2 linked regions of the Lonchura striata genome follow. The protein of the gene in region 1 binds, or shares a complex with, the protein of each later gene. Links are inferred from orthologs where the notes say so. Each region holds a gene or a part of one and is shown on either strand. Other genes may lie near its edges. The genes, in order: ITPR1 and PRKG1.

Region 1 (8,189 bases):
GTTCTGTGCCTGCTCCGCCGCAGATGGATTGGGCTGCGGTCCTGCTGCTCACAAATCAGGAAGGGAGAACGTGGCTAATACAATCCAGATCTTTGCCTGATGAAGATTTAGTGACTGCAAGTCGTGTAGGGAGCAGCGTGTGTGGGAGCTGCTGGTTTTGTTTATTAGTGAGGGTCGGTACCTGTGCATGTGTTTTATTTCTTGAAGTGCATTTAGTTATTTGCCTTTGGGGCTGTTTTGAGCCTGCTGTCCCAGGACTTGCAGCCGTGTTGAGCAGGAGGGTTGGCTGACTCCGAGGCCCATGGTGGAGCTGTTTTCCTTGCAGGGCTCAGCTGTGGCAGTGCGGGATGCCATGTGAGGCCAATATCCCTTCCTTCCCCTCAGTGCTTCCTCTGGAGCCGCTTCATGGGCTACCAGGTGCTGGATTTCTCTTTGGTTCTTTTCTGTACCTTGATTTACACCCATTTCCTCACGCAGCAAGTATCCCATGGTCTGAATGCCTGGTGGTTGTGCTGGTGGAAGCAGTTCCAGCATTGCAGGGTGTCGTGGCTGGAGCAGAGCTTTGGCTGTTCAGTGGGTGGAGAACGCTGCTGGCATCCATCAGGCCAGAAGTTTAGGGGTCACAGGACACTTGGTGAAAAAAATGTGGGACTTGACCACCGTGGGACTCAGCAGCTTGAGCTGGTGTGAAGCTGTAGTGCTCAGTGTGCCTAAACCAAAACAAGGAGTCACTGTGAAAACAAAACCACGGTTCTAGTGTGTTTCAAAACAAGCCGATGCTGAGCTGATTATTTCTAATGTTTTCTTTAAGCCGCCTCTTATTTGTCAATAACAGGGGTTTTTCTTGTTAAAATACCTTATTTCCCCAAGATTAAAATGTTTGCTTAGATGAGGGTTTTTTCCCACCATCTGCTTGTTTTGCAGTGTTGATTAAGCCTTGAAAATAGTTTCCTCTTACCAGGTTTCATAAATTAGGAAGTAAACAAACGGGAGTAAGTTTGCTTTGCCCTTGCAATCATGGGGTGGAGCTTAGCTCGGGGAAATGGTTTTTATGAGATGTGCTAATCCTGAACACCATCGTTGGAGGGTGGAGGAGGCCTTAGTGAAGAGCACAGGAGGGGGAGCATTTGATTTATTTCTTTGATGGTGGTTGGTGGAGCTGCAGGTTTGGATGAATGGAACTGTCCTGGGACTGATGAAGACTGATGAACAGAGTGGAGGGGCTGTAAGGGACACTTGTGATCTCTGGTTGTACATGAGCAGTGTAATTTTGGGAGGAATTCTCACTGAAAGGGCTGTCAGGCATTGGCAGGGGCTGCCCAGGGAGGCTGTGGAATCCCCATCCCTGGAGGTATCCAAGCAGCACTTGGGGACAAGGGGAGGATTGGGCAGTGCTTGGACTCGATGATCCTGGGAGTCTTTTCCAGCCTCAGTTTTGTAACATGATGTTATCCACAGCAGCACCAATCCTCTCATGTTCCCTCAACAATTTTGGTGTAGTGTAGTCTAGAAAATGCACAAATTGAGTTAAAGTGAAGAAATAATTTCAAGTCCTGGCAGCTCACAAGTGAGGATGTTGCAGCCTAAAGGGAGAGTTGAAACCATGCTGTGCTGCTGTGTGGTGTGAGGTCCTGCTCTATTTGTAGTGACTCCTCTGCTGAGGACAGCACTGAATGTCCCTGACAGCGTGGCAAGCACCAGAACAGGGCACCTGCAGGGGTGGCAGGTTTGGGGTGAATTTTGGGCATCCAGCTCCTCCAGTACTGTGTGTGTGCCAGAGAAAAGGGAACAGCCCCAGGAGCTGGTCAAATTGGGGTGGTCCAGAAGTCTGTTCTGGAAGCAGAAGCTCCCTTTGGCTGCTTCTTGTCAGATGAGCTGGTCTCTCCTGGTAAATGCTGAAATGGACAGCATTGAGGTGGAACTTCTTGTTCAGTGCTGTCAAGCGGGATTAAAGCAGATCCCAAATCTCCTGAGCCCTTGTCTGGTACCTGCCCTTGAATTAGAACCATCACAAGAGCAGGTGCTGCTTGTTCTGATGAGCTCTTGGGGCAGCTGTAGCTGCTTTTGGCCACCTGGGCTCGTTTGTGCCCAGGCAGGCAAGAGACCAGTGCCACCTGAGCTGTCCCAGCACTGATGTGGCATCAGCACCAGGGCAGTGCCAGTGCCTGTCCTGGGCACTGCTGGGGCACCTCCAGTCTTGGGAACAGCTCTGGGACCCTCAGTGCAAGAAAAACATTGAGGGGCAGAGATGGGAATGGAGCTGGGGAGGGTCAGGAGCAGCTGGGAAGGGGCTCAGCCTGGAGAAAAGGAGCTCAGGGGGGACCCTGTGGCTCTGCACAGCTCCTGCCAGGAGGGGACAGCCAGGTGGGGATGGGCTCTGCTCCAGGGACAGGGACAGGAGGAGAGGGAATGGCCTCAAGCTGGGCAGGGGAGGCTCAGCTTAAAGATTAGGAAAAATAACTTCACTTGAAAGGGTAATCAGACACTGAAATGGGCTGCCTGGGGAAGCAGTGGGGTTCCCATCCCTGCAGATGTTCAGAGACTGAGCAGATGTGGCTCTGCCTGACATGGTTGGGTGGGCACAGTGCTATCAGTTCAACTCAATACCTGGAAGGTCTTTTCCAGCTTCCATGACCCTGCGATCCTGCCTGGTTTGTTGGCTGTGGTGGTTCCCCAGTGCACAGCAGACTCCTTTGGAATATCTCATGTGTCAACTTGCAAAGTGTACTGGGAGTCTTTGAGACATTATTACCCCATAAATACAAGATCGTTGTAGTTGTAGGATTGTCTTAAAGCCAGGAGGAATCTCAGGCTCCCGTGGGAGGTGGGATGAGGGTAGTGGCTCTGTAGTAGCTGGTAGACGAGCTGCTGGCTCGCCCGTGGGTGAGTGTGAGGGAAGGCGGCCTCAGCAAAGCAGCTTATGGAGACCAAAGGGTTTAGAGGCAGAAAATCATGTACTGCAAGAAGGTTATGTAAATGTAACATCTCTGCCACAATGAGACTGTGCTGTAAATCCTGGTTCCTAAAGATCTGCATAGTGTATGTCCCAAATTAGTTTCTTCTGCTAAGATAGCAACAGAAAGTGAAGGTGCTTGGGTGGCCTGGAGCCTTTTTTTGGTGCTGTTTGTGTGTGAGAATCAAAATCTGGGTGTCAAAAGCTGCCCGGTTTTATCCAGTGGCCTGTGCTGGGTGGGGCCAGGTGCTGCTTTAGAGGCTGGAAGAGCTGTAGAGGGTCCCTGTGCTGCAGGGCTGGATGCTGGCTGTGCCCGTGGCTGTTCCAAGTGTGTGCCCTTCCAGCGAGCTCTCCTGGAGGCTGCTGCAGGAGCCTGGGTGCCAGAACTGCACGAGCTTTGATCTGGTTTGATATTCCTGTCTGATTTCTGCTCCCCACGGACACTACAGAAGGACTACAGCAATTATTGCCTCGTTCTCTGGCTTGGCACGAGCAGGCAGTGGCTGGGGATGGAGGCAGATCCCTCTTTCCAGGGTGCTGCAAGTACTTGTTAGATGGGCAGAGGGCAGCCAGAGGCTCCTTGTGTGATTCTTGCTTGTGCTGTACTTGAGAAAGAATTTCCAGGTCTTCAGGGCACTTGTGCTTTATGGGACCAAATTTGCTGAGAAAAGCCGTGGCTGCTTCATCCCTGGAAGTGTCCAAGGCCAGGCTGGACAGGGCTTGGAGCAATGTGGAGTAGAGGAAGATGTCCCTGCCCATGACAGGGGGTGCAATGAGATGATCTCCATGGTTCCTTCCAACACAAACCATTCTGGGATTGTGTTCTGTGAAAAAGATGAAATAGAAACTACAGGAACTGTAATTCAAGTGAGGAAAGCTGCAACATTCAGCTGTGGATTCCAAACTCAGAGGAGTTTCATTTTCATGCTTGTGGTTTTGGTTCTCAAAACTTGGATCAGAACTTCCTAGCAGCGTTCTATGGAGAATAAAATGTCAGTTGATATTCAAGTTAACCCTGTGGAGAGAAAATGGGTTGGAAATGTGCGTGGAAGTCTGTGGTACTTGGGGATTTGTTGCTTGTGGCAATGTGATTGCATCCTCATGTGCCAGAACTCCAACATGAAGAGTGCTGCAGGAAGCTGAGTGTTCCTAGCTCACTGATGATATTCCCTGGAAGTGTCCAGGGCCACACTGGGCAGGGTTTGGAGTAACCTGGTCTAGTGGAAGGGAGTGGAACAACATGATCTTTCAGGTCCTTTTCAAGCCAAACCAGTCTGTGCTCAAAGGAGGGGGAGTAGCTCTGAGAAATGGAAATTCCAGATGTTTCTGGGTTAAGATATTAGGTAATGCCTCTGCTTCTGGACTAATGTGATGCTGAGCTCTAAGGGAAGAGGCTTGGTTGGTTGAAGCCAGTGTCACAATGGACACAGGCAGTTCATCCTCTGCTCGTCTGGTGCTTGATCTTCTGTGGTCAGAGGATGATAATCTCTGAGCATGCAAATGGAAGACATTTCTGATCATAGGAGGCCAAAAATGGCTGCTGCTCAAAGGCTATACTTTGTTTTTTATTTTATGCGATTGTTTAGTAGCAGTTTTGCGTGAAACTTGTATAAACATTTCTTTTGTCCCTTGGCCCACCTGTCCACCTCTTCAAAAATTCAGAAATCTGCCAAGAAGTTGTGAAGAAGGAAGCTTTGTTTGCAGTCCAGCTCTGTCCCATCTGCCTCCCACTCCAAGGAGAAACACATGGCCACAGATGCAGGCTCAACCTCAGCTGGCTGATGGCGCTTGATCCGAAGGGTTAATTGGGAACTTCTGATTAAAATAATTAAATAACTCTGCAGTCCTTGGCCGCTCCTCTCTTAAGCGTTCAGCAGATTCGGATGCTAATGCTCGTGGGTGGTTCAGTATTTTGAACCTTTGCCTTCTGGAAAATTACAGTTGGGAGGCCAACAGGTACAAGGCAGCCTGGGAACTGGAGCCTTCATCTGTAACGCAGCCTGGCCCATCGGGGCTTTGGAGCTCAAAGTAGGTCCCTTGGCCACCAGTGGCTCTCCACACGTGCTCATCATGTGCTGGCAGTGGCTCCTCCTCTTGGGCTGGTTGTCCCGGGCGCTGAGGTTTTATCCAGAGCCGGGAGCCAGCGGAGGTGTCCGGGAGGGACGCGCGGCGCACGGGAGGGTCCTGCCTCGCCTCGGGGACAGCGCAGCCCTCGGAGCCTGCAGGGGCTGCCCAGCGGGACACCGGCCTTGGCTTCCCTGCCAGAGGGGACCCAGCCCTGCCGGGGGACGCCCTGCCCAGCCCAGCCCTGGAGACCGACAGAGAGCCCGCCATGGAGGAGAGGGAGCCCCCGCCGAGGTGCGCTGCTGCCCGGGGATGGGGATGGGGACAGGGAATGAGCAGCTGCAGGGGATGGAAGCTGCTCCATCGAGGCACAAGTGAGGAAACCGCTGGGTTCAGTGAGTGTTGAGTTTGCTGTGGGGTGCAGGAACCAGCCCCTGCTGCGCTGAGCCCTCAGCAGATAGCTGGCCACACCAAGTGACATTGGGACTGTTCCGTGCCCTCTTCTTCCCTGGCCATCCTTGTTCCTTGGCCAAGCTCCAGCTGGTGTAATAAACCAAGCTTGCTCTCTTTCCCCATGACTTTGGTTGTCCTGGTCCTTGTGGCGTGTTCCAGCTCTCTCCTGATTGAAATATGCTGGAAAACATTGTGTGCTCATCGGGGCCTCGTCCAGAGGCTGACATCCAGGCTGCCTCCTCCCAGCAGGGCTGGAGCCAGCAAGGATGGACTTCAGGAAGTATCAGCTTCAGCAAGTGCTCCTTGCTTTTAACAGGATTAGGAAGATGCTGTCAGGTCATACTTAGTTTGGAACAAAAAAATGTTCTTTTTCCCCTGACAGTGTGTCTCTAATAGAGTTTCTTTTTCCAGCTGTCTGCAGATGCCTGTCAGTAGGACCTGTCAGTCATGTTTCTTACCTCAGTCAGTGGCTGCTGTGTAAGGGATTGCTGTCAGAGTGAAACTTCCATGCTTTTGACTTGAATTTTCTGTATCTAGCTTGTTCGGTTGCACTGGGCAAATAATTAAAAAAAAAAAAAAAGCAAATGCCCTTTCTAAGGAGAAAAGAACATTGTGCACATTTGCTTTCCTGTACTGAGGTTTTATTGAGGTTAAAGTTACCAAAATGAGTTGCTTTATCTGTTTTCTTAACTGCTGTTGCACCTATGAAATAGTCACTTCAGAATAACTCTGTCACTGATGTGATAAAAATCTATTTATCTGTGGAGTGGCAAATAGTATGAATAGAACGTCATTAACTCGGCCCTCATCTTGCTGTGTGAATTTACACTTCTCTCCCTACTTATTTTTAGAGGAAGGGGAAGCGTGTGCTTGATTAGATGTGCAGTGAGTGATCTCCCCCCTGGGAGTGGAGGGGAGTGTGAGCTGCTGGATGGGGATTTGGGAGACCTGGATTCAGATCTGGGCCCCGACTCTGACCTGCTGCGTGTCCTTGAGAAAGTCACAGTGCTCTGCTGCTCCCTCCTTCCCCTTTTCCCCAGCCTCCATCTTGCCTGTTCAGCCTGGAAATTGGAAGAAAAAAAATCTGCATTTTAAGCGTCAGGAGGAAAAATACTTGGTCTGCGAAAGTGCATTTCTCCTCCTTAATCTAACGGTTCATCAGCCACCCATGTGTGGCAGACAGCAGCCTCCTGGACATGAAAGGTTGCAGCTGAAGGGAAAACAAGATCCTGTGGTAGATAAATGCACTGCACTGATAGTTTATTTTTTAAAGGGTAATCTCTGAAATGGAGCCCCATGTGCATAGCTGAACCCTCCCAGCGCTGTCCCTTAGCAGCAGGTGAGAGGATCCTGGTGTTCAGCACATGGCCTGCCCCACACATCCCAAAATCTCTTCATTTTCCTTTCCCTGGCGAGTGCAAAGAGCTCCTTTCAGATTTGCTAAGCAGAGGCTTTGCAGATGACAGAGCTCTGTCCTCAGCCCCAGCACGGTGATTATTCACCGGGTGAGCTTTTAAATAAAGCACTTCCTCCCCTCTTCAGCTGTTCTAATGGGATTCTTAGGAATCTTTCCTGGCGTCCTCGGGGAGGAAACCTTCTTTTTTTTACTGAATGAGAAACATCAGGTTTGGGTTCAGATTTTCAAGGTGGCTGCACCTGTGAAAATACAGAATGCTCTGTGGGTGTTATCCAAAAAAAACCACATAAAGTCTTGATTAGTCTGTAGGGCCAAATTTTCAGCCAAGTAATCTGGTAAAATTTGGATTTACCAGATTATCTAAGCACTGGATTTTCAGGATAATACAGTGTTTGGTTGCATTTTAAAAATGTTAATTTGCTTGGCCCGATTTATCAGTATTAATGACCCAATTCAATTTAATTCAAACACAGACTTACCTGGTCTTGGGGGTTCTCAGATCTGTTAATTTCTGTTAATTTCTGTTAATTTCTGTTAATCTGTTAATTTCTGTTAATTTCTGTTAATTTCTGTTAATTTCTGTTAATTTCTGTTAATTTCTGTTAATTTCTGTATGATTCTGCTTATGCCATTAAGCAGTTCTTTGTGTTTGCTTCTTTGTTGTCTGTCTACCCTTAAACTCTGGTCTTGCTTCTGTCAAAAACTGAAACAGAATTAAACTTTCCCTCTGGAATTTCCTGTCGGCGGTAATGAAGTTGAAACACTTAAGTACAGTTTGAAATTCTATTCTTAAACGACCGAGATAGTGAAAAAGACTTTGATAAAGTGGTGCTCCAGTTTTGATAGCAGTACATATAAAATTGCCAGTGTTTATTGAATTGAGCACTAAACCACAGTGCAAATCTGCCAGCAGAGACCTGAGTGCATCCTGGGACTGCAGGGCACAGCAAGGAGCTTTTTTCTTACTCTAAACAAACATCATTAGAAGCATCTTGGAAAGACACAGTAATTTGTATCCCAGTTGCTGGGAATCGAGCAATCAGCAATAAGACGCATTTGGGCTTGTTTATCTTACAAACAGGATTATGGGGTAAAGAATTAAAATCCCACACGAAGCAGACGTGCGAGACATGCAATCAAGGAAGTAGCTTTGAATTCTTTGAAAAAAGCCTTTTCAGAAATGCTGGGGATGAGGAATGACAGGGCAGGGATGTTGTCACACAGTCCCCACCAGGAGGGACTTCAAACGGGGCCTTGGCTCCGCTCTTCAAGGAGAGCAAACTCCAAGCATTGCTCTTGAAA
Region 2 (7,112 bases), on another chromosome or scaffold:
CCCAAATTCATCCTGAGAGGATTTCCTGGAATGGCTGCATGCTCTTCACACTTCTCAATGTTTCTTACTGAGCGTGGAAATGTTTCTTCAATGTTTCTTCCTGATGCCCTAAAGGAAAGTCATCAGGATAATCCAGTTCAGGTGTTTATTTGACTTCCAGCATGTAGGAATCAATGGTGTTTGAATGAAACTGCTCAGAGCTGGATATCTCCATCCCTTTGTGGGGAGGACAAATGGCTTTCACTTTTGGGTTAGAGGCTCTGGAAAGGACCAAAATAGGGAGGAGGAGCATCCAGTGCCACGAGAAAATAGGTCTTGTTTTCCTGGAGAAAAGAAAAGAGGCTGAAGCACTTCTCAGGTATTCAATTCCTGCTCCTTGGTCATGGCAAGGCTGCTTTGACACAGTAATTTCAGCTTCATCCCCATCCCTGGGGGCTGAATTAGTTCCCAGGTGCCCCCTATAAATCTGTATGGCCCTGTGGCCACAGAAGGAGCTGCCAGAGGCGTTTTGGGGCAAAAGGAATGGTCAGATATGCCTGGGAAGAGTTGGGTGTGCCCGTGTTTCAGTAGGTGGCACTCCTTGCTCTGCCTTGGGGACTGCTGTGGATTTTGGGGACGTGGTGGAATAGCAGATGGCATCCCATGAGTGAGATGTGGCGAGTCTCAGGTGTGACCACACCTCGAGGTGCTTTTTGTAAGGGTGCTGCCTCCCTCGAAATATTCCTGTATTCTTGTAGTTCCTTCTCATCATGAAGGTGTTGCTGTGACTGTGCAGATAGGGCAGGAATTTGGTTGTGTGCTAGGGGAGGGCAGAGCCCTGCAGGTCACAGACCTTCCCAAACCTGCACGAAGCAGGATAATCCAGCACAAAATCCAGCCGGTTCAACTTTCTGCCACGGGCTGATCTGCTCCTGCAGATATTTTCGGAAAAGAGCAGAGTGGATTAGGCAGGGAGCAAACACCACATCCAGGAGGAGGAAGATGTTTATCTATATGGGCAGTGGTGCATGTCCAGCCTTTGTGTCCGTGCTGTCCCGGCTGGCTGGAGCAAGGTGACATTTGCCTGTCAGGGATCGAGCCAGCTCGCTGAGCCTTGTCTCAGGGATCCAGGGAGGTGTTTGCAGGATAGGCAGTGTTCAAATACAGTTTCAGCTTGAGAAATGGCAGCTGAGTGGGCGCATTTGGTGGCAGATGATCCCTGAAAAGGTTCAGAAGCAGAAGGTATCAAAAGCCTGGAGCTGTGCAGAGAGGAAATATTGTGAGTGCAGTGGAGAGGAGAAACATCCCTGCTCTGTGATTCCCACCAACCAGCCCTGGCGTGCCATGTTCTGGGGCACATCTCTGCAGATGCTCTTTTTTTTTTTGGCTTCCCACTCAACATCCATGCATGCTCTGGAAGTGGAGGGAGCAGGAAAAGGCTTTGGGAAGTTCATAGCCGAAGATTTCCTTAAGCTGTGAGCAGCTTCACCCAACACCAAGCCAGTTGGTGCATTCCTGCCATTCTTCTCCCTAAAGCTGTTTCTTTCCATTCCCTGGATCAAGCAGACAAAACAGCTGCTCTGTTGAGCCTGTGATCCATTTATTTATTTTATTGGGAGCTTTAAATTGAAAGGAATAGGACCATAGGATTTACTTGTATGGGAGTGGGGTGTGATCCCCGAGATCACACAGCAGGATCTGTGCTGGCCTCGTGGTTTCTGTGCTCTGGTTTCTTTGGGAGAGCAGGAAATAGCCAGGAACAGGCAACTGCCAGCTGCCTTCCCATGGCAGAGCTCTGCTGTTGGCTTCTGAAACCCTTTGGGCTGCTTTGGCCTCATCTTTAAACCAGGGAACACTGGCCTTGGGCTTGACAGCTGCTGGTTATGGTCCCAGATCTAAACCTGGGCCATAAAAATCTCTCTTGAGACTCCCAAGGGCCTGATGAAAATCTTCTTCCTACCTGGAAATGAATACACGTTTTAGATACACTCAGCTAAATTCCTTGACAGCTTTATGTGCCATAATTTCTCATGGTTTTCTGTGGATCCTTTCCATTCTGGGGCACTGTTGTCTCAGTCCTGAGCTGTGCCCCTCTCACTGAAACAAAGTAATGTTATTTTACTGCTTGTCACTGAGAAATTATGCACCAGTTTTCTCCAGGGTCGGGATTCTTTTGAAGCCTGGTGGGCTTCAGCTAACTGTATCACCTCTCCCTCCTGCAGATTTCACTTCTGCAGGGAGGAAACCAATAAAACTTACAGCGTGTTGGCTGAAGGCTGTTAAAATATTTTATTTATCACTGATTCCCAGTTTGTAGGCAGCAGGAATGCATCTGTTTAATGCCTGTTGTCTTTAAAATGGAAATGTTCAGCAGATATCTGGTACTTTTGTTCCCAGTGAGTTATGTGAGATGGAAATAGGGGGAATAGACAGTAAAAAATGCTGTTGTGCCTTAAACCCATGGAAACAACTGGGGGACTTTGCTTTGTGCCTGGCATGAATATATCAAGGGGACTGAAAACTGAAGAGTTTTGCATAACCCAATTTCCACCCCCCCCACCCCCCCTTTTTGCGTGCATTTGAAAAATGCAGGATCAAATGCATGGAAAACCTGCGAGGCTTCATGTCTGTGAGCAGAGGCCAGGCCCTTTCCAGCAACAGTGTGGAGCAGGGAGCAGCTCTAATTCCTCATCCATTCTCTTTTATAAATGTATTTTATAAAAAACAGCTGCAGGTTGAAAGCTGGGGCCAGTGTGTAACGGGGGAGGAAAAAAAAAGGGCAAGACCAAAGGAGCTCAGCCCCATAAGCAGGGGCTGGAAGTCTGGCACTCCCAGCTCATGCCTGGCATGGAAGGTCTAGACATAAACATGTAGGTGCCACCCACCTCCAAAAAACCACATTCAGGGCTGCATCATCCTCCTCCCCAAATCAAACTCCCCAAGAGGGAACAGAAACAGCAGCTGAAAACCTCTGAGCATGAAACTGTGCCGGTGCCCCAGTGCTGCAGAAGCTTTGGTGAGGTTCCTACGCTCTGGGGTTTTTATCACTGGCTCCTCCAGACTGGAACCCCCAAAACCAGCTCACAGCTCCCTGTTTCTTCCCCAGAGAGCCAAGGCTGGAGCTGTGCTCTCGGGGTGAGCATTGCTGGCCCTTCAGCGCCTGGCAAATGGAAGAACCCAGAATCATTTGGCACCGAGGACTTGGCCACTGTGGCTCATTTATTTGATTGTGTTATTTCTGTGCTGCAGCCCCGTGAGCTGTGTGGCAGAGGTAGGGCCACACAGAAAACCTGTGTGCGTGAAGGAAAACCCTGCACTCCGGGGAAGTCTGATCAGTTTGGTACAGCAGAAACTTGGGCTTTCACATGGGTATTTGGGCCAGGCAGAAAATCTCCCAGATTTTAAGTTAAGGGCTTTTTTTTCAGTGCTCTGAAAGCCAGATGCCCTGCCTCCAGGCTTTTCCAGTGCAGACAGACTTGACCGATATTCCCATGAAAATCTGGGTTTTTGGAACCCGGAGCTTGCTGAGGCTTGAGGAGGAGCCATGCCAGACGCTGGCTTGTGCTTCCACTCGGGGAAGACAACAAAACCCGTCTCTTTAAAAGCAAAGTAAAGGGGGGATAAGTTCTTTGAGGAGAACTGGCACCTTGAGCGGAGCAGAGGGAGCAGGACGGGAGGTCCGCGGCTCGGACCTGTGTGCTGGCTTCCAGCAAAAGGCCGGGAGGGCAGGCACCGGGAGCTGCTCCCGGCCGGCCCCCTCCTTCCTCGGCAGCCCGCGGGGCGTGGGCGGCGCGGGGCGCGGCGGGGCCGGCGGGAGGGAGCGGGGCGAGCATGTGCATCCTCCCGCCGCCCCTGCCTCCCTCCCCGCTCGCCGCCGCGGGTGTGTGTGTGTATGTGTGTGTGTGTGTGTGCATCTCGGCTCCCTCGCCAGCCCGGCCTGACGCAGGCGGATCCACATCGCCCCTGACAACACCCCGGCTCCGGAGCGCCGTGCCGGGGGTCCGGCTGCGGCGGCGGCCCCGCGGGGCCGGGCCGAGCCCAGGGGGGCGGCGGGGGCCGGGGTGGCCCGAGCGCAGGGAGGCGGCCCCGGGGGGGAAAGTTGCCGGGAGCGGCGAGGGGCGAGCGCGGCGGCAGGACCATGGGCACTTTGCGGGATTTACAGTACGCGCTGCAGGAGAAGATCGAGGAGCTGCGGCAGCGGGATGCGCTCATCGACGAGCTGGAGCTGGAGTTGGACCAGAAGGACGAACTGATCCAGAAGCTGCAGAACGAGCTGGACAAGTACCGCTCGGTGATCCGGCCCGCCACGCAGCAGGCGCAGCAGCAAAGCGCCGGCACCTTGCAGGGCGAGCAGCGGACCAAGCGCCAGGCGATCTCGGCCGAGCCCACCGCCTTCGACATCCAAGATCTCAGCCACGTCACCCTCCCCTTCTACCCCAAGAGCCCGCAGTAAGCAGGGGGTCACCCCGCCGCTCAGCCTCCCCTCTCCCTCATCCCGCTCCATCCCCGGCCTCGCCGCCGCCCGCCGGGCAGGGAGCGGAGCGCGGCATTCCCGCATCCTCCCCGGGTGGCCCCGCGGGGTGGGAAAGTTGCGAGCGCCGGGTTTGCGAGGGGGGAAGAGCGGCAGGAGTGAGCGCCGAGGTGCCAGCGGAGCGGGGCGCCCGGCTCCGACAGCCCGTCCCGGCTGCGGGGGGACCCGGCCCCCATCCCTGCGGGGGACGGTGCTGCCGGCGGGTTGAACCGGATCGCGTCGTGGGCACGGCGGCTTCGTCGCTGCGGGAGGGAGCGGGAGAAAGCCGGGGCTCGCTGCGGGACCCCGCAGGGAGACATTCCCAGCTGGGAAACTTGGAGGCCGGCGGGATGCGGTGCCCGGCTCTCCGGGAGGGGGCTGGTGTTTTGGGGAGGGGAGTCTGGCAGAAGCAGGAGCTTATTGCAGTGTCCGGGTGTGCGGGGGGCAGGGAAAGTTGCGGGGATCCTCAGGTGCCAGCGCGCCGGGGGATGCGCTGCCCCGGTTTCACACCTGCCGCAGATTAGGGAAATTAGAGCGCCTTAATGGGGAAGCGGAGCCCTCCCTCGCTCCGTGCCTTTCCCTGGCCGGTACGTCTCCGTGCCTTTGGTTCAGCGCTCCTCAAGGGATGAAAAAGGAGGAAGGAAAAGGTGATGAGCGGATGCTCGCCGCGCCGGGCTCCATGTGCGGGGCCGGGGCGCAGCCTCCCCGTCGGTGGGGCTGCCAAACCCTTCCTCCCCTCCGCGGCCGGCGTCTTCCTCGCGGGATGGTAACGGGGAGCGGAGCCGGTAGTGCGGGGCGTGTGGGACGGGGCGGGCGGTGGCGGGGCACGGTGGCGGGGACCGTGCCGGGGCTGGCCCGCTCCCCGCGCAGCCTCAGCCCTTCCCGCCGCCATGGCGGGCCCCGCCGTCTCCAGGCAACTGCCCGCCCTCAGGACGGCCGCCATGGCCGGACCCCGCCGCGCCGGGCCTCGTGTGCCCCTCCTGCCGCTCGCTCCCGCCACATCCCATTCCCACTTTGCCGTGCCCGCCCCCCATTCCCACCGCCACAGATATTTTGCCCTTTTAAGGCGTCCGGCCGCGCCGTTCTGAAGGATGTCAGGGGACGAACGGCGGTGGCGCCCGCAACGCCTCCCCTGCACCCCCAAAACGAGTAAAACACCCCAAAAAGTGAGCTGGCAGCACACGGGGGGCTGCGGTGGCGGAGGCCAGGCGGGCGAGCGGTCTGCGGAAGCCCTGGGGTGCGTGGTGAGCACCCAAGGTGGGATAAGGCATCCCACGGTGTTCATTTCCCCTGGGAACGCAAAGCCCCACACGGGTTGGTTTCCTTGTCGGCGCTCTCGAAGTGCGAATGGAGCTCCCAGAACTCCGGGAAGCGCCACAGGTTTCAGCAGAGCCAGTCCGCAGCCTCTGCCGTCCCCACTGAAATAGGTGGGAAGCCTGGCAAAAGCCTTGGGGGAACGTTTTCCAGCTGGAATTTTCAGCGCTCCTTGTATGCATGCAGTTCTGCGGTCTGGTGTGGGGTGTAATGCCCAACTCCTCCGAGGCGGTGTTTCATATTGATTATCTCTGAAGTCCAAGACTTCTAATATTATTAACAATTTTGATGTCAACTTGTGCTTTCAGGTTGTAATCACTCAGGTGGGACATTCTGGGGGTTCGGAGCAGCCCAGGATAGTGGAAGGTGTCCCTGCCCAAGGCAACAGGCTGGAATGAGAGAGCTCCTAGGGTGCCTTCCAACCCAAACCAGTCTGTGATTACAGGAAAAGATCCTTGCTAATGGTTTCAGGAGTGTACGTGGCTCTGGGAGACGTTGAGCGCTCTGTGTCAGCCCTAAGAGCCTGGTGACCAAGATAAGCTACTGTGGTGGTGAGGTTTAAGGTGGTGGGAACCTGGGAATAACAAAACCTGCACAAAAGGGTTGGGTTTTTTTCCCCCCCTGTTCGTGCTGAACCTCAGTGACTCTTGAGGTAATGGCACCCAACCTTTGGTTTTGTCAAGCCACCAAGAAGTGTTCAAAAGGCCGGTGGATGTGGCACTTGGGGATATTGGTTAGTGGTGGCCTTGGAAGTGCTGGGAGAGTGGTTGGACTTTATGATTTTAGAGGGGTTTTCCAATCAAGGTAATTCTAAAGTAGACTCTGTATTTTTTTTTTTTTCTTTTTTTTTTTTTGTAGTTAGGTGGTGCTGGATTAGCTCTCCTGATCTGGCAGAGGTTGCTGAAGATTGGTAGGATCAATAGCAGCAGAAACTCTCTGGGAACTGAATTATCATGAGAGTCACAGTAGGTACTTGAGGGTCTGTGGTGGTGAAAGCTGTTGTGATGCCACACAGAAGATTCTGTGTTGTAGAGTGGCTGAATTCTGAATGGGTGTAAGAGAGCTTGAGAGGGATTTGGGACAGCACACAGGGAATGGTTTCCCAGTGCCGGAGGGCAGGGATGGATGGGATATTGGGAATTGGGAATTGTTCCCTGGCAGGGTGGGCAGGCCCTGGCACAGGGTGCCCAAAGCAGCTGTGGCTGCCCCTGGATCCCTGACAGTGCCCAAGGCCAGGTTGGACAGGGCTTGGAGCAGCCTGGGACAGTGGAAGGTGTCCCTGACATGGCAGGGGTGGCACTGGATGGGC

Evidence for each region.
Region 2: ITPR1 (region 1) and PRKG1 share a complex: the UniProt entries of both Homo sapiens proteins name them as parts of the cGMP kinase signaling complex. The link is inferred for Lonchura striata from reciprocal best matches to the Homo sapiens genes ITPR1 and PRKG1.

What each region holds. Positions count from the first base shown.
Region 1 is NC_134614.1:22,875,819-22,884,007, forward strand, and holds the start of ITPR1 (inositol 1,4,5-trisphosphate-gated calcium channel ITPR1), read left to right. Parts: upstream 1-5,064; 5' UTR 5,065-5,285; coding exon 5,286-5,311; intron 5,312-8,189. UniProt on the Homo sapiens protein: Inositol 1,4,5-trisphosphate-gated calcium channel that, upon inositol 1,4,5-trisphosphate binding, mediates calcium release from the endoplasmic reticulum (ER).
Region 2 is NC_134609.1:37,893,546-37,900,657, forward strand, and holds the start of PRKG1 (cGMP-dependent protein kinase 1), read left to right. Parts: upstream 1-4,045; 5' UTR 4,046-4,117; coding exon 4,118-4,428; intron 4,429-7,112. UniProt on the Homo sapiens protein: Serine/threonine protein kinase that acts as a key mediator of the nitric oxide (NO)/cGMP signaling pathway. GMP binding activates PRKG1, which phosphorylates serines and threonines on many cellular proteins.